3 linked regions of the Lepisosteus oculatus genome follow. The protein of the gene in region 1 purifies or fractionates together with the protein of each later gene. This does not show direct contact. Links are inferred from orthologs where the notes say so. Each region holds a gene or a part of one and is shown on either strand. Other genes may lie near its edges.

What was found.
Region 2: the proteins of crnkl1 (region 1) and ccdc12 purify together in Homo sapiens (co-immunoprecipitation; 3 studies listed by BioGRID and IntAct, with this or other methods). This does not show direct contact. The link is inferred for Lepisosteus oculatus from reciprocal best matches to the Homo sapiens genes CRNKL1 and CCDC12.
Region 3: the proteins of crnkl1 (region 1) and ppie purify together in Homo sapiens (affinity purification with mass spectrometry; 3 studies listed by BioGRID and IntAct, counting the BioPlex papers as one, with this or other methods). This does not show direct contact. The link is inferred for Lepisosteus oculatus from reciprocal best matches to the Homo sapiens genes CRNKL1 and PPIE.

What each region holds. Positions count from the first base shown.
Region 1 is NC_090697.1:9,759,855-9,767,006, forward strand, and holds the start of crnkl1 (crooked neck-like protein 1), read right to left. Parts: upstream 3,004-7,152; 5' UTR 2,892-3,003; coding exon 2,844-2,891; intron 2,514-2,843; coding exon 2,361-2,513; intron 1,080-2,360; coding exon 988-1,079; intron 1-987. Other genes in the region: cfap61 (cilia- and flagella-associated protein 61), read left to right, coding at 3,112-3,148, 3,543-3,690, 5,693-5,843, 6,523-6,599, 6,904-6,971. UniProt on the Homo sapiens protein: Involved in pre-mRNA splicing process. As a component of the minor spliceosome, involved in the splicing of U12-type introns in pre-mRNAs.
Region 2 is NC_090705.1:22,377,338-22,384,888, forward strand, and holds the start of ccdc12 (coiled-coil domain-containing protein 12), read right to left. Parts: upstream 3,015-7,551; 5' UTR 2,990-3,014; coding exon 2,906-2,989; intron 1-2,905.
Region 3 is NC_090706.1:2,459,966-2,467,451, forward strand, and holds the start of ppie (peptidyl-prolyl cis-trans isomerase E), read left to right. Parts: upstream 1-4,472; 5' UTR 4,473-4,535; coding exon 4,536-4,566; intron 4,567-6,347; coding exon 6,348-6,446; intron 6,447-7,030; coding exon 7,031-7,074; intron 7,075-7,486. Other genes in the region: pabpc4 (polyadenylate-binding protein 4), read left to right, coding at 156-425, 527-617, 926-1,048, 1,222-1,355, 1,460-1,550, 2,108-2,238, 3,010-3,102. UniProt on the Homo sapiens protein: Involved in pre-mRNA splicing as component of the spliceosome. Combines RNA-binding and PPIase activities.

The DNA of each region.
Region 1 (7,152 bases):
TGGTTTTCTATTAGACTAGAGTAGGAGTTTCCAACTTGGATCCTGAAGGGCTGAATTCCTGCAGGTTTTATGCCTTAAATCAGTAGCACTTGGAGAACAGGGAGTCTCTTGCACTGTTCCAATTAAGCCTTTAATTAGTTCAGTTAGATCATTAATGATCCTGCAGGCCTCCGTAATAATAATTCTTTACACTTACATAGCACTTTTCTGGACACTCCACACAAAGCACTCGACAGCTAATGTGGACTCCCATCCAGCCCCACCTGGATGATGCAATGGCAACCATATTGCCCCAGTACACTCACCACACACCAGATATCAGTGGGGAGGAGAACAGAGCAATGAAGCCAGTTCATAGATAGGGATTATTACGAGGCCATGATTGGGAAATTTGGCCAGGGCACTGGGATAACACTCAACTCTTTTCGAGAAGCACCCGGGGTTTTTTAAATGACCACAGAGAGTCAGGACCTTGGTTTTGTGTCTCATCAGAAGGACAGACCCTTTTTACAGTATATTGTCCCCGTCACTATACTGGGGCATTAGGACACACATAGGACACACATAGACCACAGGGTGAGTGCCCCCTGCTGGCCCCACTAACACCTCTTCCAGCAGCAACCTTAGTTTTTCCCAGGAGGTCTCCCATCCAGGTACTGACCAGGCTCACACCTGCTGAGCTTCAGTGGGCTGCCAGTTGTGAGTTGCAGGGTGATATGGCTGTGGGCTAAATGTACTGCGCACATTGTGTGGCATGGCCTATTTTACTGTACACCTTCAGAAAGAACAGCACAAACAAGAATCCCAATGTATATATACACATGACAAAATAAACTCTCTCTTTTCTAAAAGCATTTCATTAAATCTGTGGCTTTCCAAGTTATTTGGCCCTATTGTAATCACAATTCAGAATCTGGGTGGACAGGTATTTTTTATAATATTCTCTCCTCTTACATTTCATCTAGAACATTAAGAAATAAATATTACCTCTGAACTTCCTTCAGGCTCTCCTCCCATTGTGCATACTTTATCCAGTTACTGATGACAGTGCGATTTTTTCGGATGTTGTCTTCAAATCCCTTTGAATAGACAAAAACAAAGTATCACGGAGAAAGCTCAGATGAGTGTACTTTCATCATATGCACTTTTGTGCTTTTTAAACTCACACGATTATTGTTCAACTGAGCAACCTGAATTTTATACAGTTGAATACAAATATTAAAAAAAACATTAAACAGAAGGGTGTAAAAATATTTAATTCTCCCCTTTTCAAGTTCATATTACTTCAAATGGTTGGGCCATCTGAGAGCAGTACAGCTACGATGGTTTTAATGATCATCATGGTTGCAAAAGTCAGGCAACTTCTTACAATCACCAATAACTAGAAATAATAATAATAATAATAATAGCGCACAGTTATATAGCGCTTTACTGGACTCTCCACTTTACAGGTAATGGGGACTCCCCTCCACCACCACCAATGTGATAGAAATACATGATAGACTAGAAATATAAGATAGAAGAACTGTAGGAAATAAAGGAACTGGTGTAAAATATTATATTGCAGATTCCAATATCTAAAAGTGATGATAATTTGATTTAACAGTAAAAACACAATATCAACAACAGCACAAACTTGTAAAGTTTTGTCTCCGCTTGGTACTTAAACTAACAAAAGGGACGTGGAGCGTGTGGAGGTCATTTCGGAGGATGACTGGACTCGGGTCCTGAAGTCGGAGACAGCAGCCATATCACCCTGCACCTCACAACTGGCAGCCCACTGAAGCTCAGCAGGTGTGAGCCTGGTCAGTACCTGGATGGGACAATCCTGGGAAAAACTAAGGTTGCTGCTGGAAAAGGTGTTAGTGGGGCCAGCAGGGGGCGCACACCCTGCGGTCCACGTGGGTCCTAATGCCCCAGTTTAGTAATGGGGACACTGGACTGTAAAGAGGTAACGTCCTTCGGGTGAGACATAAAACCGAGGTCCTGACTCTCTGTGGTCATTAAAAATCCCAGGGTGTTTCTCAAAAAGAGTAGGGGTGTAACCCCGGCGTCCTGGCCAAATTTCCCATTGGCCCTTACCAATCATGGCCTCCTAATAATCCCCATCTATAAACTGGCTTCATCACTCTGCTCTCCTCCCCACTGATAGCTGATGTGTGGTGAGCGTACTGGTGCACTATGGCTGCTGTCACATCATCCAGGTGGGGCTGCACACTGGTGGTGGTGGAGGGGAGACCCTATTACCTGTAAAGCGCTTTGAGTGGAGTGTCCAGAAAAGCGCTATATAAGTGTAAGCAATTATTATTATTATTATTACATGTCTAAAACAGCCGCCGGGCTCTGTGTTCCGCACTTACCTTTCTTTTCCGCAGCTTGTAATCATTCAGCTCCTCCTCGTCGGTGATCTTCTGCTTGGGCGGCGGGGGCAGAAGCTCAAGCTCCCTCTCTTTGGCTTCCCTGAGCAGCTGCTCCGCCGTGATCTGCACCTCGGCGGGGGCCTTGTTTTTCACCTGCACACGGGACAAAAGCTCCAGCTCAGCCACGCCACGTTACCGCTATACCGCATAGAGCAAAGCACAAGCAAATACACATCGCACTGTGAAGGAGGAATTCAAAATGTATCAAAGTACATTGCAAAAGGCATTTTTTTTAATTGACTCGAGATGAAATTGGCATAAGCGCCTAGCTATACCACACGGGCAAATATACTTTACACCTACATAAGACATGCAACTTTGATACGTTTGATTTATATATAAACCTTTTTATTTATGTTTTTCACGTTGAATTTATCTTTCGCAAGGCCTTACAAACATCGCCAGCACACGGTACAATATTACCTTAGCCACTTTCGGTATCCTTTGCTTCCCAGCCGCGGTAGAAGCCATTTTTCAACTTGTTACTTCTAATCCGAAATAAAATAAAAAATACACAGTTTTAAGAACAATATTGTAATAACAACAACAGAAGTCAACTACGGTTCCACACACTGGTCCACCATGAAAGACGTACGCCGTGCGTAACCTCCAACCTTTCACCCCATGATGTCATTGGTAGTCAAGGAGACGGAGCGTTCTGTCACCATGGATATGAAGTTTTGTTTGCTGAATGTTCACAGAGGACCCGCAAGTTATCTTAAAGGAAGGTAACCCAGCCTCGTCTTCTTGAAGAAATATTGCATTTGAAAGAATTATTTTTAAGTACATATACATATAATGCATTGGATAACCTATGCTGAATTTAATGTGACTCGCCACTCTTAATATGCATGTCAAAGAGAGCATCAAAATGTTTCTGCTCATGTTTCTATAAAATCAGTTGTACATGCGTATGTGTGAAATACGCTTTGGCACTGCACATTTAAATTGTTATTGGTCTCGTAATGTGTAAATATACATTTCTAAAGTGCTTGCGATTGTCTGTCGTCTGAACACGATTTCAAACTCTGTAGCGCAAGAGAGCTGTTTCTCAGTTTTGAAATCTGTAAATTCACTACCAGTGCAGTTGCTTTATTTATCCGCCCGACTGCTTGCTTTAAGGTACAATGAGGACCATTACTTCCTCTGGTGGGAAAGAAGAAATTGTGACGGCGAGGCGAGCAGAATCGTCGGATGCTCCAGAGATCAGTAATCTGATTCTGCCTTCCACCAAAGACGTGTTTGGCAGATTAAACGTCATTTACCTATTGTGAGTAAAATAGTTGGGGAGAACGTAAATCGGATTACCTATTGTCTTTAACTTTGTTTTCAACGCTATATCCAATGTCAAAGTCGTAGCAGTCCTGCAGCGTTTACGTCATTCAGTTGAGAAATATTGCAACCGCATGCACCGTCCACAGACTGCTTTTAACATGTGTTGGTGAGAGTGGTACAGTATGTAACACGTGTGAGACCCTTTTCCCTGGAGAGGTTGAAGGCGGGACAGCTGAGGTTCGGTGAAAAGAACCGAGTCCAGACTACGGAGGCGAAGCGAACATCAGGTCCTTATTTTTTAGTACTCAAATCAAGATACACAGCACAGCGACGCGAGAGAAAGTTTTCTCTGCGCATCTCTACCCCAAGCTTGGTTTCCTCCAGCATCGCCCGGTACAAACAAGTCGAGCAAAAACCGCAGTTCAGTAGCCCCGTCCTCATCTCGGTACATCCCCCTCATCCGGCGATTGAGATGGCAGAGCGACTTCGGCTTCCTCCTTCCTCCTGCCTGACACTTATAGTTTCTTGAGCGGTTGGTAGCTGTCAGCAGTCTGCATATTTTTTTATATCAGAATCACAAAGACATGTTTTTAAGCGTCAGCAACGTTTTGTAGGTACAAGGTGATCATCAATGCTTCAAGTTACAGTTATGTCATACAAAAACTCCTTCAAATCCAGACTCAAAACCTTCTTCTTTAGAAGAGCCTTTGTTGAACTGTTCTTTACCCCTCTGCTCCCACTGTATTCAGTACGACCATCTACTGGCTCCTCTACCTGTGTATTCTCATCTAGCTTATCTTGTGTGTTTTTTTATTGTTGTTGTTGACATGCTGTAAAACACTTTGAGAAGCCACCTTTAAAGGCACTATATAGAAGTTTATTCATTATTATTATACAAAAGATATCTAAAAATAATCCTTCAGTCCCCCCTTTCGCCTGCTGCGGACGCAGCCTGGGTGCAGTTACATTTAACCCTTCTTCACCCGGTGCCACGTCTACCCCGCTTCTTACAGGAACTCCACCCGGGGCCGGGACTCGGAGGTCAGCGTGTGCATCTGCTCCCACATGACCTGCGATTGCAGCGTCTGGCGTGCAGAATCTATCACTGCTGAGTCACCTCTTTCAGCTCGGATTCGACTTCTATTTATGAAGCGCCTTTCGAAATCCAAGGACGCTCTGCATAGTGAATAAAAAAAGGCAAAAAAAAAGTCCAATAAAATGTAAATGAAGGAAAAAATAGACAAGAGCATACAGAGGTTTTACAGATGGAGGGCAATCAGATGTAGACCTTGGTAAAAAGGAATGTTTTAAGTTTAGCTTTGGTGAGAGTTAAAGAAGTTGTCTCTCGTAGAGTCTGAGCAAGGTCATACACAACACATGTTGTAAGCTAAATGCACTTCCGAACTTCTCCTGATGTGCTAGCAATGGTCGATTGATAGATGCAATACTGGCTAATAAGTTTAGAAGACCACACAAGTGGAGTTGAGGTGCATTGAACACACCATTCTAAGCAGGCTTACATATGCCATCCCCAACAGGTTATTATTCCCCAGATGTTTCATAAGGAGCTTCCTTTTATGTATAAAAGAAAGGAGGCCATCTGTCCCTTCTAGTTCGTTTGATTGCTTCTAGCTAAATTCATCCAAGGATCTCATCCGGCCTTTTCATGAAAGAAGCCAGAGTATCAGCTTCAGCCGTATGGATGTACTGCTTTTTCCAGACACCAACAACCTCTTTTGTAAAAGAAAAACTGCCTTCAGCATTGTGCTTCAGCATTGTTTCCAACTGTCTCCTCTGGTTCATTTTGATTCAGAAGGGTCTCTAATAAATAAGTACCATTCTAGAACATAATTGACTCATGCATCCATGATCAAAAAGCCAGTTATTCTTGGTAAGGGTCGTAGAGAAATTGTGCATAGCACAAGGCGGGAATTCAGGCTGGATAAGGATCCCAGTCCATCACTGGTCATTATTCATTTATTTTTTTGTCTACCTAGGGAGAAGGCTAACCTTGCAGTGACACTGAACAGTGCAAACAATGAAGTCATAGCTCATGCTGCCTTCCTAGATTATCCCAATCTGGATCTTGTTGACCAGGCTTGCTGGGAACCTTGGTTACACAACAATTACAACATTGATAAATGTACAGTAAGTATTGATTTCACCGAATTATCAACAGTTGTGTGCACTAGTATTATTAGCAGCAGCTGAAGCAGTAGTGCACTATTTAGTTAATGACAGATTCATGTTGTGTTGGTAAGAGTTTTCTTTTAATGCACTCTGGATTGATTTGTTTATTCTTTCTGAATCACATTTTAGTTTCCTACCTGCTTAAACCTCCGTGTTACTTAGAATTTAGAGATCGGTATTAGCCTACTTAGAAATTCAACCCGGTTGCGCAGGAACATAAACAAGTCACTTAAAGTAAGTTTCAGGAAAATTACTTTTTCATCCTTTATTTTACCATATATGTCATAAGAACAATTTCTCATGTGCAAAGATGACGGGGACAGTGTCTGTTTATATCGCATGGTATAAATTGAAGCATTTTGAGTGCTGTTTGCTGCCACGTGTTAAGTGACCTCGCCCCCCCACCTTATGTAATAACATACATTTCCCATTGCCATTTGCACCAGTAGAATGTGATGTGTGCGGTCTCATTTTTTGACATACTGTACCAACCAGTATACAATGGATCTGCTTGATCTAGTCATGGTAGAGAAAATGCACATCACTAAGCGAATGAGAGATAAGCTATTCAGAAATAATACTGATATTATTATATGTATCTTAGATCTTATTTCTGTATATTTTTTTTCTGTTTAAGCCACTGAACACACTTTTTATGCACCTCTATGTGGCACGGCCCGACTTCTGTATTGGGAGTTCAAAAGAGATTGTAAGGTAATACTTTAATAAAACAAGCCAATATGAAACATTAAACTAATAACATGGCAATTGGAAATAATTTTATATAGAACTCTGACTTAGATTGTGTATGATCTTCTCTTCTCATTTTTTATTAGATGTTTTGATTGTAACGATAATTAACCTTTCTTGCATTTATAACTTCTGAGAAGAATTTGTAAAATAAATTAAATAGAAATTTATTGTACAATGCTTTCTTTTGTTTATTTTCTGATTTAATTTGTTACAGTATATCACCATAACAATAATGTCATTTTACTGCCAATGTGCTTACTTTTAGAACAGTTTTCAATGCTGTTACAGAGCTCCATTATATATTCCTCTTTGCTCCAGTTGGTTCCACTTTAGGTAAGAAATCTTACTTTTATAACAGCTGTAAATCAAATCAAATCAGATGTATTTACAAAATATAATCAAAAATGTTTTATGTCAAATAAAATAGCTAGAGTTACATTTCAAGCTAGAATGGAATTCTGTACAAATATCTCAAAATCTCTCAATTATAAGTTTATCAATTTTATTTTTAATT
Region 2 (7,551 bases), on another chromosome or scaffold:
GGGATGCTAGCTTCCTCGGCTTTTCCTGGAAAAACTAAGCTGTTCCCTCGTTTTGATATAACAATGCAAAAGCCTCTGGTGTTCCTAAAAGTCAGGGCAATGCTCGCAGAGCGGAAAACCCTCAGCTTCAGTGAACAGAAGCCAAAATAACAATAAACCCAAACTGTGCACATAAGCATGCTCACACAAGCATCTGTGGCATTAACCTCGAGTTCACAAAGGAAGGCAGCTGGCTCATTACCAATCTTCTGGCACAAGCGAAAATGCCAACGTTTTCTAATCTACAGATCTTGGAGCTTATTAAACAGGAATCTCTGCACAAGGTTCTTTTTCCTTGATTGCCCAACAGACACAGTCAGAAGAACAGCTGTTGGAGACATTTTATTACGCATTCACACGTGTGTAGGGAGTCTGTCCCAGGAGTGTCAGGGGCGGGGTTATTCCAAACACAGCATTGCCCGGGTTTCCTCTGTGCACTTCCACTGAAAAACCTGCGCAAGCAAACTGATCTCAGGTGACATCTAAGCAACCTGCTGTGTAATGGAAAGACCTAGAGTGGGCTAACATAGCCATGTGTGCTTCAGCACTTTAACTTCATCCAGAGTGCCCACCTACTTCTGACATAGGTTACACCTCTCTAGGCCACCCGCATTAGAAATACTGCACCTTGAATCCAGTCTGTAAGAACTGTTCGTACAAGGTAAGCTTGAAAAGCATTAAAATATATTTACCTGGATATATGATAAATATTGTATTACACAATCAGGGTTGATTTATCTCTATAGCTCTACAGAAATCTCACAATCTTTGCCTCTAATCTTCACAGTCAAGTTCTCACCACACAAAACCTGGAGGCACATCCCGCCCCGCTCAAAAGATTTTCCTGAAAAAATCATTCATGCTTATCAGTCTGGAAAACACTGCAAAACCTTTTGTAAAACTCTGTGGCTCCACCGAACCAGCCAGAAGCATGGTCCCGAAATACAGAAGATTTAGGTCAATAGCGAATATTCCCAAGAGTTTCCATCTGGCCAAAATCACTCCAAGAGCACAGAGTAAAATAGCCCAGGAGGTCACAAAGAACCCCAGGACAACATCCAGGGATCTACAAGCCACCGTAACCTTGGCTAAAGTCAGTGTTCATGATTCAATCATCAGAAGAGCACTGGGTAAGAACAGTTTCATGGGAGCATGGCACAGGCGAAACCATTGCTTGCCAATTGCATTGATACTCATTTTAAATTTGCCAAAAAGCACCAGGATGACCCTCAAGTTTTCTGGAGGAACAGTCTATGAACAGATCCGTGAAAAGGGGTTATGTCTGACAAAAAAACAAAACAAACTGCATTCCATACACAGCAATAAGAGAGACTGATTACTACTTACAGGAAGTGTTTGGTTGCAGTTATTGCAGCTCTAAGTGGCAGAACCAGGTACTGAGCCTAAGAGCCTAATTAACTCTTTCTCACAGGGGCACTGGATGTTAGATGGTACTAAATAAATGATACAGGCATCATATGTTGGTGATATTATGTTGGCAATATTAGTTCACTTAGACTCCCTTTTTACATCACTAAAACCCCTATAAATCTCTGATCATATGAAGTGGCAAAAACGCTTAAAAAAATAAATACTTTTTCACAAAACTGTATACACCAGCATAGTTTTGAGATATTGAAATTCTTGTCCAAAGTCCCACAAAAATGCTTAGAGCTACAAATTAAACAAAGAAAGTGAGAAAACTGGCAGCAAAATTTTCTTCATAAGATGCACATTGTTACAAGACAGACAGCACAAGGTACAAATTAGAAGTCATGCATATAAAAAAACTGAAGTGGGAAGCTTGTGCCAAAAAGAATTGAATCGGCATTAACCACTACTGCTTTTTATGCAGATTAATACACCCCTGGCTTTGCACTAAACTGGAAATTTCACAACTTTTGTTCTCAGTGCAACTACAATTTTTAATCTGGATTATCATGTTCTCTATCTACTTGAGTTTTTTTTTCTGTTGCTGACTTGCTTGGGAAGGTTTTGACTGAGTGAATGTTGATTCCTAAAAGCCACCTGATGGAATCTGAAATGGGGATACCTGGGATAAAATGCTTTCTTCATTAGTTTTCTACCAGAACTTGTTCCAGACTGCTTCACGAAGTGTTCCTCTTTACTCTCTCTTGCATGTCATTCATCTTTCAGTGAAGCGAAATATGCAGTCAGCTCGACTCTAGCTGAAAGCCTTGAGTCAATGATTAACAGACAAGCAGCAGCTAGCTATAGTGGTGTAAGAAGTATCCTCGACGCAATCTAAAATATATAGATACTTTATTGATCCCGTGAGTGAAATTGCAGACTGTAAGTAAAATAATGTCTTATTTTACATTGTAAAATAATGTAAGACCTGCTGAGCTATGACGTTCTTTATCTGCCCTCTGAACTGGACCTCGCATTCCTGTGGCAATCTCTTACTAATACAGTACCAACTCCGCAAAAAGCAAATTATATCGGTACAATAATCGTTAGAAGACAATTCAGACCACGAACAAGCTTATTGAATGTTAAACTCGTCGTTCTTAAACGCTTTCATGTCGAGCTAGTTCTAGCAAACATATTATTATTGCCCAAACATATTTAGTGACTGCTCATTTAAAACACGTTCTAGTTAGATCAATGCTCAGATTACTTACAATACTATGAATGAGTGGCCTAGTATCTAAAAGGGTCGGTACTGTGAGCAGCGCAAACTGAATTAACGGCACACGTTGTAGTGGAAAAGCTAGCTGGCGGTGGATGAGTCTTGTGTATCTTTAGGATTTGTCCAGATCAGCAGGTCTCCAGCCATGGACGGACCCAAATAATCAACCGACCAATTCTCTTTCACTCGTTTTGTCTCTGCTTGAAGTCTTACCTGAAATTGCTTATTCCTAATCGCCTTTAGTCTCTCTTTCCTCTTCAGCGCCTGCTCTTCCAAAGAACCCACGACTGTCGCCATCTTCCCACAATTCTCTACACCGAAAGCCAAACCTGTCGCAATAGATTGCGTCGATACAGGCACTCCTGCTAATCGCCGAGCTAGTCGATCCATCAAGAGCCCGTTGAATATTAGCTGCAACAAGATTGAATATATTTTTTATTCCCAAACGGTTTATGACAGGTATAAAGTGATATCTAACAAAAAATAGTAAAATAAGCTCATTTGCATTAATGTTTACACAAATCAGAAATCACAAAATATTTAATAATAATAATAATAATAATAATAATAATAATAATAATTGCTTACACTTATATAGCTCTTTTCTGGACACTCCACTCAAAGCACTTTACAGGTAATGGGAACTCCCCTCCACCACCACCAATGTGCAGCCCCACCTGGATGATGCAACGACAGCCATAGTGTGCCAGAATGCTCACCACACATCAGCTATTAGAAGCTATTTAGAAATAAAGTTAAACAGATTTATTACGTATTTACATGTTCATACAAAGAGCACATCCAATGTGTACGTACATATGTTTACATATGTTTATGTTCACATATGTTTCAGGTCTACAAGCAAAACTTCAAACATTTCATACTGAATGTTCCCAAATCATTATAGACCATAATTTCCAAATCCTAACCCTACGGCTTATCAGGCCTGAATTTATCCTGCTCTCTTTGGCTATATAGAGACTTCATAACTCTGAATGGGAGGCCAGTCACTGGCAAGGATTACCCCCAGCAATGTCAGTCCCCATTCATACAGCTGGGTGGACTGAGGCAACTGGGGGTAAAATCCCAGACTCAGAGGTACAACAACAGTGATTGCAGTGGGGACTCAAACCAACAGCACACCAATTACAAGTCCACTGTGCTAAACCACCCTCAAATTAAAGCAGAAGGAAAATATAACTAATAGTTTTGTCTAAAACAGAATGTTAATGAGTGGTGAAGGGATCCAAGGTATAACAGCCAAGTTAATGATCCAAAACATCAGAACACTCTGTTTTCATTTAAAACCAAGAGGCCTGAGGAGCATCACCAGCAGGTAGAGTCTAGGAGATCAGACCAACAGTTGTCCTTGAACACAAAGGACTGGAAGGCTGGATACAGCAGTGGGATGAGACACAAGGTGCAGAAGCATGATGAGTGATGATGGGACAGAGGGCAAGACAGAGAGAGGAAAACATTAGGGATGATGGTAAACCTACAGCCAGTGGAGACGTCTGACAAAGGAAGGACAGAGAGGCATAGCTCAGCAGAGAAGATGGAAGAGGAAAAACAGTTATGGTGCAGGACAGAGATCAGAACAGAATTAGGAAGTGGGCAGCAGGAGCAAAACAGAAAGAGCCTTCAAACAAACCAAGTGTGCAGAACACACCCCTACCTTCTGTACCCACAGACAAACTGGCCTGGGCTATCATGAACTTACAAACACCAGAAAGTTTGATTGTCAAGTTTGCAATGTGCTGGGAAGTTAGGAACTTGGAAACTTTAAACAACAACAACAACAACAACAACAACAATAATAATATATGCAATTAATTATAATAAATTATTATTATCATTTTATTTTATTTTTTTACAATTTTGTTTGCATGATGTTCAACCAAACAGAACATGGAGTGGTTCAAGTAGGTAGCTGCAACAACGCGTAGGCTGCAAAGGAACAAATAAAGGTCTAATCCATGCTGAAAAGAGAAGAAAAGCTGTGGAGCCTTTTTCGGGTGTCAGAACTTGGAGGGGCAGTGGTGACAGCATTTTTCTGATCCAATAATCCAATTGTGATGAAAAAAGGCAAGCAGAACAGCCACAACATTCAGAATTCACAACATTCAGAATTTCTCCAGCGCATCACACTGGACCCAATATAAAGGTTAATGAAAAAAGTTGTTAGTTTTACAACAGGTGGTGGAGTTCTGTGAGAAAATCGACCGATTCCTCTCTTTTTTCAAGTGTATGAATTTGAAGTTACAGAGTGGTTCTGCATGTGCTAAAATGACTGTTGCAGCATCTGAATTGCTCACAGGGGAGCTAAAAGGGCACAAAGGAAAGGCTTACTGCACAACAGGTGAAGTGTTGCTTCTTGTGTGATTGTGGGATTGTTTACAGTGTGAATGACTTCACTTCAACAAACCTTGAAAACTCATTCAGTGCATTAATCTTTTCCAAGCTGTGCTTTGGACATGTTTTTCCCCCACTTGAGTTAACAAAGAAATGCTAGCGAAAGGATCGCTCACACAGAAGGGGTGTTTGCCAGCTAATTGTCTCAGGGAGGCGTGATGTTTCCTTCAGTAAACGGTGCGCTTGGTGAGACAACATTGTTATTGCTGTTTCCTGAAACTGATGACCCCCACAGGGCAGGACAAGGTCACTCACTGGAACAGTGGCTGCTGCTTTAAATGAAATACCAAGACTCACTTAAAACATTAGAGACTTTATAAATAGAAGCACTCAGTGTGGTGCTCGATACTCCATTCTTTCCACTGCTAAAGGGCCTGCATTAGGCTGGGTTTCAGTAATGTCAGGGAGAGGTGTTGAACGTCAGCATTGTGTAATTCTTCAGTTTTGTCTCTAACTTTAAGTCTTGCTTTCTTTCTGTCTCTCATTTCTTTCTCGCTGCTGGCCCCCAGAATCCCACTGCAAACTCTCAGGCCATGACAATGGCTTTCTCCTGGCTTGGTGTGACAATATGTCTGTATGACCTGCTCTATGTGGCCTTCTTGACCATGATAACACAAATGTCATCCTCGGATGCCATGCCCTTCTAATCCATAAGTATGTAACCCCAGTGTATGCAGTTCTGCAAAAATACATACTTTATTCTAGCTCTGGTTTCTGCAGTTCCATATGGAAAAGGATGTAAACTCCTAAAATGTCACATAAGAGCTACCGTGTGCATTGAATTCCACATTTAATTTACCATAGAGGAATCTCACAAACTGCTAGTGCCAGCACCAGTGCTAACTCAGAACATTAAAATCACACATACAAAGGGTCAGGTGGTGCCTTAAGACATCACACCTTTAGGCCTTCCTGCCGCCTTCATATCATGACTGTAGTCTAGAGCAACGCTGAAACAGAAAGAACTGCCTCCACCCCCTCCCAATTTATAGACCAAGAAATGTCCTGCACCTGCACTGGCACAGAGTGATCCAGATTGTACTGTGTGTCAGATTCCATTGCGTCTCCATGCCAATCTGACTGCTGCATACACACAGATATAGAGAGGCCTTAGTGTACCACACTGGGCTTGGTGAGTAATCTAGGGCATTGCCATGGCAATACAGCTGCCTGGAGGTTCACTTTTTGCATCGTATTGGCCAAGTGACCAATATACTGCTGTAACAAAAAACTCTATGTCTTACACATAAAGACAGAGCATGTAGGTCATTAATTCTACTGCTGGTATCACTATCCAGCAATCTTTCAATTTACATTTGAGAATTGCAGAAGTGGCAGGGTCCACTGTGTTTGAAACGCTGAATTAAACTTGGTCCAATGGCAGATAAAACTCACGTATTACCCTGGGCTAGGAGACTAGCAGATTATAAATGTTATGCCTCTCTGAATGAGTTCACCTCACCACTCTCAGTTTGTGTCACATTTCTTGAGAAAGCAACATTTAAAATATTAAAGGGGAATACTGAACTAACATCCAGAAAGCTTTCTTCACAACACTTTTTTACTTTATGCCTTCCTCCAATCTGTTTGTAGTGACACTAGTCTAAGGCAATGCTGAATTTTGGGGGAATTTGGGAATCTTAATTTTCTCATTGGTATTTCTTATTGGTATAAATAGGTGTAAACGTGATGTGGTGGTCTGCGCTCTGTGACAATGGCCAAGACAGTTGCTTAGAAACAAAGAAAAGAAATTCCTGGGGGGATACAGGCGACAAGTCTTGGTGTCCAGCCCCCACACAGTACTCACCGCCTTGTCTCTGTGTTCTGCTTTCCGTGGTGGATCAAATTGGTTGCTGTTGCAGAGACAGAAGCATTTGCTATCTTTCAAACCACAGCTTGATGAAACTCGCCTATCATCAACCTTTTCAGCTGCCACACTGTCAGGCTGTCCTGAATGGCCCAACCTCTTGCCTCCATCATTTATTAAACTCTTTTAGGTGTTCTTCGCAGCCAGTAGTCAGATGGCCCAAAGGACCAGAGGGAACAGCAGTCACATTTAGGCTGTGATGGTAGCTGGAGGTACTGTATGTGTGTTGATTCTGGTTTTGTGTCATGGATGAAATATCAGCACTCCTGTTTGCTCTGCCAGAGAGCCCTGTCCTTGAGAAAGACCTTGTGCTGGGGTGGTTAATCTTGGACTGGAAAAACACAAGGCTTTCATTTCTGTTTTATCCAAGACCACAAGGAATAAGAGAGCACGAGAGACATGATATCTAAATCCAGACCTGAGAGGGACATCAATGAATGCTAATGCAGAAAATCTTTTCCCACAGTGAAGGCGTGGGATGGGATTTGAGTTTTTCTTTACAGATGTGAGAAAACTCCAGAGTCTAAAAAACAGTCTTGGGGAGTTTTTGTGCGAGTGAATCCAGAGTGTTCATTCTCAT
Region 3 (7,486 bases), on another chromosome or scaffold:
AGCACATTCAGGAGAGGCTGTAGGAACATGGTGGAGGACTGGACAGTGTTGATAAGAACGGAAGAGCATTGCAGTGCCAGCCTGCAGAGTGAAGGGCCATGCCCGTGCAGTAGGCGCTCCGGTCCTGATGCTGCTGCCTCCCTCTGTCTCCCCAGGTGATGCTGGAGGAAGGGAGGTCCAAGGGCTTCGGGTTCGTGTGCTTCTCCTCCCCGGAGGAGGCCACCAAGGCCGTGACGGAGATGAACGGGCGCATCGTGGGCTCCAAGCCGCTGTACGTGGCGCTGGCTCAGCGCAAGGAGGAGCGCAAGGCTCACCTCACCAACCAGTACATGCAGCGCATCGCCGGCATGAGGGCCATGCCCGCCAATGCCATCATCAACCAGTTCCAGCCCGCCGGCGGCTACTTCATGCCCGCCGTGCCACAGGTGCGGGGGAGAACGGGGGTGAAATGAAGCGTGGGGGTGTTTGTGCCCCCCGCGAGCTGGGGAAAGGTCACGTCTGCTTTACCTGTGTGTCTTTCTTCCAGGCCCAGAACCGAGCGACGTACTACGCGCCAAATCAGCTGACACAGATGAGGCCCAACCCACGCTGGCAGCAGCAGGGGGGCCGACCACAGGGTGAGGAGCTCTGAGCCCCCGGGGGTGAGGGGTGGGCGGGAGTGAAAGAGGAAATGGACTGTCCCGTTTTTCAGAGGGGTGGTGACCATGTGAAGCTTGAATCCTTTTGTGCTGGAAGCACCAATACATCTGCGATGCCATCGATTTTAACTGCACGTACTTTAAACAGGATAAGCAAGAGAATGCATACTGTCTGCCAGTTCACCTAATTTCCCTGCTCAAGCTCTTATCATAAATACTCCTGGGTGAGCAGAGACGCAGAGAGCTCCTTCCCTTCATCTCCTCCCCCTCTGTCCTTCCCCCTGCAGGTGGCTTTCAGGCAATGCCTGGCGCCCTGCGTCAGAGCGGGCCCCGTGCCAACCTGCGGCACCTGGCGCCCGGTTCCAGCACGCAAGGCCCCCGGGGAATCCCAGCTGGGGCGCAGAGAATGGGTAAGGAAGAGGGAAGTGCAGAAAGGGAGGATTAAAACTACGGAGCTGTGTGAGGCCTAAAAAGGTCACTTGCATTTGTCAGTTGTTGTTTTCTGATGGAAAATGAGGTCTCGGGTCAGACCTGCACTCTGGGACTGAGCTCTCGCTCTCCTGCTCTTGCTGTGTGTTTGTAGGAGGGGCTGGTCAGACCATGGGCCCCCGTCCCTCCGTGGCAGTGCCAACGCCAAGGGCCGTCCCACCCTACAAATACGCCACCAGTGTGCGCAACCCCCCGCCCCAGGTGATGCAGCCCCTCTCCCTGCAGCAGGTACGGACGGCTTCTCGGGCTCCGCTGGGGATAGACGCAGGAGGTAGTCAGCACCTACTGGTGTCGGAGGTGCCTGTCCCACACGCTCTCTCTGCCTTCCTCAGACCCAGCCGGCGGTGCACGTCCAGGGACAGGAGCCCCTCACCGCCTCGATGCTGGCCGCCGCCCCCCCACAGGAGCAGAAGCAGATGCTGGGTGATTACGAGACGCCATTGAGTGTCTTCTCACCCTCAGTGTCCTTATCGGTGCAGGAGCAGTTCCCACTTGCTGGTCGATTGGTCAGCAGCTTGGATCCAAAAAAGATGTTTAGGGATAGCTTAGTACTGAGGAGGAAGAGTTTGCTGTTCTCATCTTCTCAGCTTCATTCTCAGCTTCTCATGGATGGAGGATTCCCTCACCTCTCCCTGCTTGGGAGAAGTCAATTTCCTGTCATCCTTACTCACCTCTCATTTTCAACAAAATTACCAAAACGGGATTTTGATCAAATGTTGCACTGTATGTTACTTGCCCTTGTGTCATGATGCCTTCTGTGTGGAGCATAAGTCTGTAGAACCTACTGCTAGGGCTGACCATAAATCAGAGGTAGGGTGATTTAAAACAGGTGATTCTTAGACTGGATGCTACTTTTGAACATTATAAAATAATAATAAATCAGGCGCAATAACACAAACATTAAAAAACTAGGTCTAAGGAGATCACATTTCACCCTCTTCTTCTCCTGACTCTCCTTTACTTCCTCTCTCTCAATCCAGGGGAGCGCCTGTTCCCCCTGATCCAGGCCATGCACCCCAGCCTGGCTGGGAAGATCACCGGAATGCTGCTGGAGATCGATAACTCAGAGCTGCTGCACATGCTGGAGTCCCATGAGTCCCTGCGCTCCAAGGTACGCGGCCGGCTCCACGCAGGGAAACTCAGCCGATGGATTACACTGATCATCCCAGGGGATCCCTGTACGTCTTTACCGACAGGATGGGAAAGCCTTCCGCAACCCGCCCACCTGGGTGACACACTGCTGCCCAACTGCACAGCAGGGCAGGTGGAGAAGCCAGGGACTGCTCTGCCACCTGGGGTAACAGGGAGTTTGTAGTAGGCTAGATCGTACAACTGGGATTTAACCATGGCGCTGAATCTCAGGGTCAGTGTCAGGGGCTCTTTTAAGAGTCACGTAGTTGGGACCTCGGTTTTAACATGTCATCCAATAGGACAACATCTGCTCTAGCAGAGTGTCTCCAGTCATACTGGGGCGGTGGTTTCATGAATTGTGATCCAAAGGGAAGAATCACCTGCTGGACCTCGAATCCCACATGCAGGAGCAATCTAGTTTTTCACCAGGGGTTTTCCCATTCTGGTCCTGCCAAAGCTGTAGTTTCCGAGATCAGAGGAGTTCAGGCTAGAAGGTGGCAGCATCCATTGCAGATACGTGGTCTTGAGTCTTATAAGCACTGTATTGCAATAATGACTGTTTGTCAGTGATTCAGGATCACTCATTCTTTAATAAAAGAGTCCTGGGGTCCCTTCCATGTGCTGAACGGCTGTACGAGCCCATTCCATCAAGACGGGGAAGCTGAATTGCATGCAGCCGTACAGCTGTGTGTTGTCCAGTCTTGTGTCTTGTTGTAATTGAATTATATTGCATTGCACTGCAATGACTCAGGTTGAAGAGGCCGTTGCTGTGCTCCAGGCTCACCAGGCAAAGAAGGACGCTGCGCAGAAGGTGGGGGTCATCACCACGGCTGCGACCTCCTGACGGGTAAGGGTGGCTGTGGCCGTGGAGGCTCTGCTCGGTGCCAGACTGCAGAAACCGCAACTTGGGGGGCTTCGCACCCCTCCGCTGAAGAAGAGCGACAGATCAGACGTGCTTGGCTGGTTCTTTCCTACTTTATGACAGAAGCAGATCTGCAATCTTTTCACTAGGCATTTTGTGCACCTCCCAGTATTGCCCTGGAAGCCTTCTCTGAACAGTGCTTCCCCCTATTGGCCATCACACCTAACAGCCACACCGCTGTTCTGTCTTTGGGACATTTTCCACGTTGTCCCAAACCTGCATCCTTCAAAGCAGGGGGCATCAAAACCTGTGCAAGGGCTTTTAAAATTTCCAGCGACTGCGTCTGTTATCCTGGGGCTTGCTGTGGTTTGTGCTACACTGTGACATACCATGCCTCTTACCACTCAGCTATACTTCACTCTGCTTTTGCTGTGGTACAGCATCTGATCTGATCTGATCGATACAGGAGGCAGCGGAAGATGTGCTGCGTGGTGGGGGTGGGTGGGGGGGGGGGGGGGGTGACATGTGCTTACAGAAGGGACATGGGGGGCTTTTTTCCAGGAAAGGGGAATAAAGGTTTCTTTCATTTTCCAGGCTTTTTCAAGAACTAGACCCAAAGAAGAGGGATCCAGTGGTCTTCGCTGTCGCATTTACCTGGTTCTTCCTGTAAACTGAATGCAAAAATAAAACCATACTTGAACAACTTAAAAAAAACATATAATTACAATTCTTTTAAATTATATTTTAGTAATTAATAAATGAAATATATATATATTTAAATTATATAAGTACAAGCTGAAAGGGGGATTTGTTTTTAACAAATACTATACTTGAACTGTTTGTTTCTTGTGGCCAGGACTGTTTTTTTTTCTCTCCCTGGGGAAAAAAACTTTTGACTGCAGGCTTTTGAGTTGTGGTGATTTGATTGGGATGGTTGAAACCTCCGACCCCTGTAATCCCTGGATGGTGTGACTTTCTCAATAAAGGATGAAACATTGATGAACTTGCCCCTGGGTGTGTCTCTATCCTTACCCTCTCGTTCCCTTCTTGTTCGCCTCGTCTTATCCTCTTGTTAGAGGGCAACACCAGTTTTTCCACGGGAACCGTAAAATGCATCTTTTTTTAAAACAGTTTGAAGCGGACAAACAAATCCCACAGTACTGAAATTCATCCAGCGACACAACCTACTTGATGTCTTTTTAGCCGCCAATCTTCAGCGGTCATATAGGCTCAAAACAAAAACTACGGCAATTTAAAAATGGGTGTAATTTCTGCCTAACACTGAACTCGGACGCGCACAATCTCACGGATCTATACTGAACCACGTGTGGGACTTACTGCCGCACGGAACGGACATCTGAAGGAGTTGCACAGGAAAGGGCGGGGTTTATGTTGGGTCAAAGGGCACAGTGAAGATGGCGGCCGCCAAGCGTGTGCTGTATGTTGGTAAGTTGTTTAAAAAACTGCTTTTGTGAATTGTATGAAGAAATAAGAAAGTTTGAATGACATTTTACTGCTCTGTAAGATACGGTTCTTTCTTTGTCTTAGTCTTGAAGATTAGGTTTCAATAAGTGTTAATGGTTTCTTGGTGAACTCATTCCTTGATCCCCAATGCCCATCTCACCATAGTGTCTTTTGATAAACACTTTGTTTTTAATTTAAAGGATGAATTGCAAAAGCATGCCGTGCATTTAAAAAAATAGCCCTGGCTGGCAGCGGTACCTCTAGCAGATTCAAACGATGAGCGGGACAATGACGTAATTAAAGCGACAGATTACAGTTGCACTTTACTATGTTTTGTGAAAAGCTTGACCACCACATGCGTATCCCTTAAATGTCGATTGTTTTTATTCTGAATGGTTTATTTCTGTTCAGTTTTAGTCTTTTGCTGTTTGAGACGCTTGTCAGCCCCGATTTAAGTTGACATATTGGGAAAACACCGACTTGATGGTTGCACCCAGGCACTATTTGAAGTCCTTTGAGTACTCTTGTGGACTATTGTATGAGTTGATGATCACGCCCAACTTGTCTACTTCTCAGAAAGCAATATGATAGAAACAAGTGTTAGCTTAACAGACGTTTGCTTAAATTGATGTTTTGTTAAAATGATTGGTAAGTCGAGATAAAAGTGAGTGAAAGGATATAGTAAAACTGGTAAATGTTTTGTGTGGATGTATAGTTATACTGTATACTGTTTTTGAGTAGCTAAGTCTGAAACACACATTTAGTCTCACTTCTGTTCTACAACCTCCTTTTATTTCATTGATTCTCATGGAAAAAGCCCCTGTGTGCTAGCTCACATGGGCAAAAATCCTAACCTCCACGTTTACCTTGTTCTTGCGTTGTTCTACTGGGGAGCAATCCCCCTATATATCCCATTAGGTCCCTAATGCCGGCGTCACACTACGTGACTTTTCCTAGGATTTTCAGTTGTAGCCTTCATGTACACGATCGGAAGAAACTCACAGCGAGTTGTAGAGTCGCAGTGTGCGCCCGTTACCGTCAGCTGTGTAGTGTGACACCCCCAGCGACTCAGTCATAGCGCTCTTAACAGCCCCCACCACTCTCTGCAACTCGCTACGATAAAATCACACCGTTTGATTTTCTGGTAGCGAGTCGCAAGTCGTAGTGTTGTGCAGTGAGCCAGGTGTGTACTCGTGAGATAATGTGCCCATTATATTACACGTTCTAGCGCAATACTAATTTGTTTACACTATTTGTTTTAAAGGTGTTTTATATTTTTAACTGTTTTATTTTTGTAAATTCGTTCTATATTTATAAAGAAGAATGATATTTTTGAAGGGGTCTATTTGTGGAAAACAATGCCTGTGTCACCCTTGTCAGGATGTTTCCGTGCTCGTCCTCCATGTTGTTTGTTTACTTTCGCGCGGCGCTCCTCCTCCTATTCCAGTGTGCTCTACGTTGATGGGCTGCCAAAACGAGGGGACCCCACGGTACTTTTGCGGTGCAACACGAGATTTGAAACTGTGATGAAACGTCGTGAGGGAATCGTGTAATTAGTCACCCCCTGCTTTTCCTAGTCGTATAATTTGACGCCCTCTAGGACAGAAAAGGCAGCGAGATTCAGCAGCTGCAGTCGTTAAATTTGACATGCTCTCTGACTAGAAGTCCGTATAGGCCTGTAGTGTGATGCCGACGTGCGGCGGGGACCCTTTACTGACGCTTGGGGATCGCCTTGGTCACGTGTGAGTCTCCCTGTCTCGCAGGTGGCCTCGCGGAGGAGGTGGACGAGAAGGTTCTGCACGCGGCGTTCATTCCCTTTGGCGACATCACCGACATCCAGATCCCTCTGGACTATGAGACAGGTTAACACACACGCTGCGAAAAATGGTTTCCCACATGTCTTGCAGAAAACGATAGGGCCGCCAAAAATTAACTGTCCAGCCTTGGAAGTAGTCTGACAGCAGTGTTGCCATTACTATAGTCAAAGGACTATCAGTTTGGTGCTAAAGGTGGTTCTGGCTGAGCAGGAGGTGCCACTCTTCCATCTGGACCAGTTTCCTAACCAAAGCTCCACACAGGTGACTGGACCTCCCCTGCTTTAGCAGGTGCCACACTTCAGATGAGATGTGAAGACCCGGTCCTTACTGCTTTGTCTTTAAAGCATGAAAGAATAGAGGTGTTCTCTACAATATCAAAGCTAAATTGCATTTGGGTTTGAATGATTTGGGTTCCCTAAAGTTCCTTTTTATTGGTTTTCCAAATAGAAACTGTGTTGAAGTCGATGCAGGTTTCTTTCATGGAACAACTGGATTTAGTCACGGGATCAGTAAGCTTCTGACTACCAAGCAGGCTAGATGGACCAAACGGCACCCTTTCGCTTGCAAACTTTGTGTTATTGTGAAATGTTGTCTGTTCTTTTAATACCTGTACTGCTCTCTGTTTGCAGAAAAGCACAGAGGATTTGCATTTATTGAGTTTGAGCTGGCTGAGGTGAGTGTTGTCTCTTGTGAGGGTCTGACTTCTTCCTAAAAACGTTAACAATTTAACTCGTAGTTGTAGTGTCTAATGTAATATCAAATATCCATCACCTCATCGTAAAAGTATCTAATGATCTTCCTGTACTTTAGAATGTTTACTCAAAAACACATTCTGATTTGTTGACTCTTCAACCTGTCTACAAAATAGTGGAGATAGTTTGGAGAGCCGCTGAATGGATCTCTCATCTGAAGTGGGTGCAGTGCAGTGATTGGCCTGTCTCTGCAGTGTCTCATTGCTTAGCTCTACAATCCTGGTCCTGGAGAGCTCCTGCAGCCTTAACAGGCATCACTAAATGCTCAGTGAGCAGAGGTTTGGACTACCCATTAAACAACTGATTGTGTCAAGCAGAAGACATTGCAGCTAG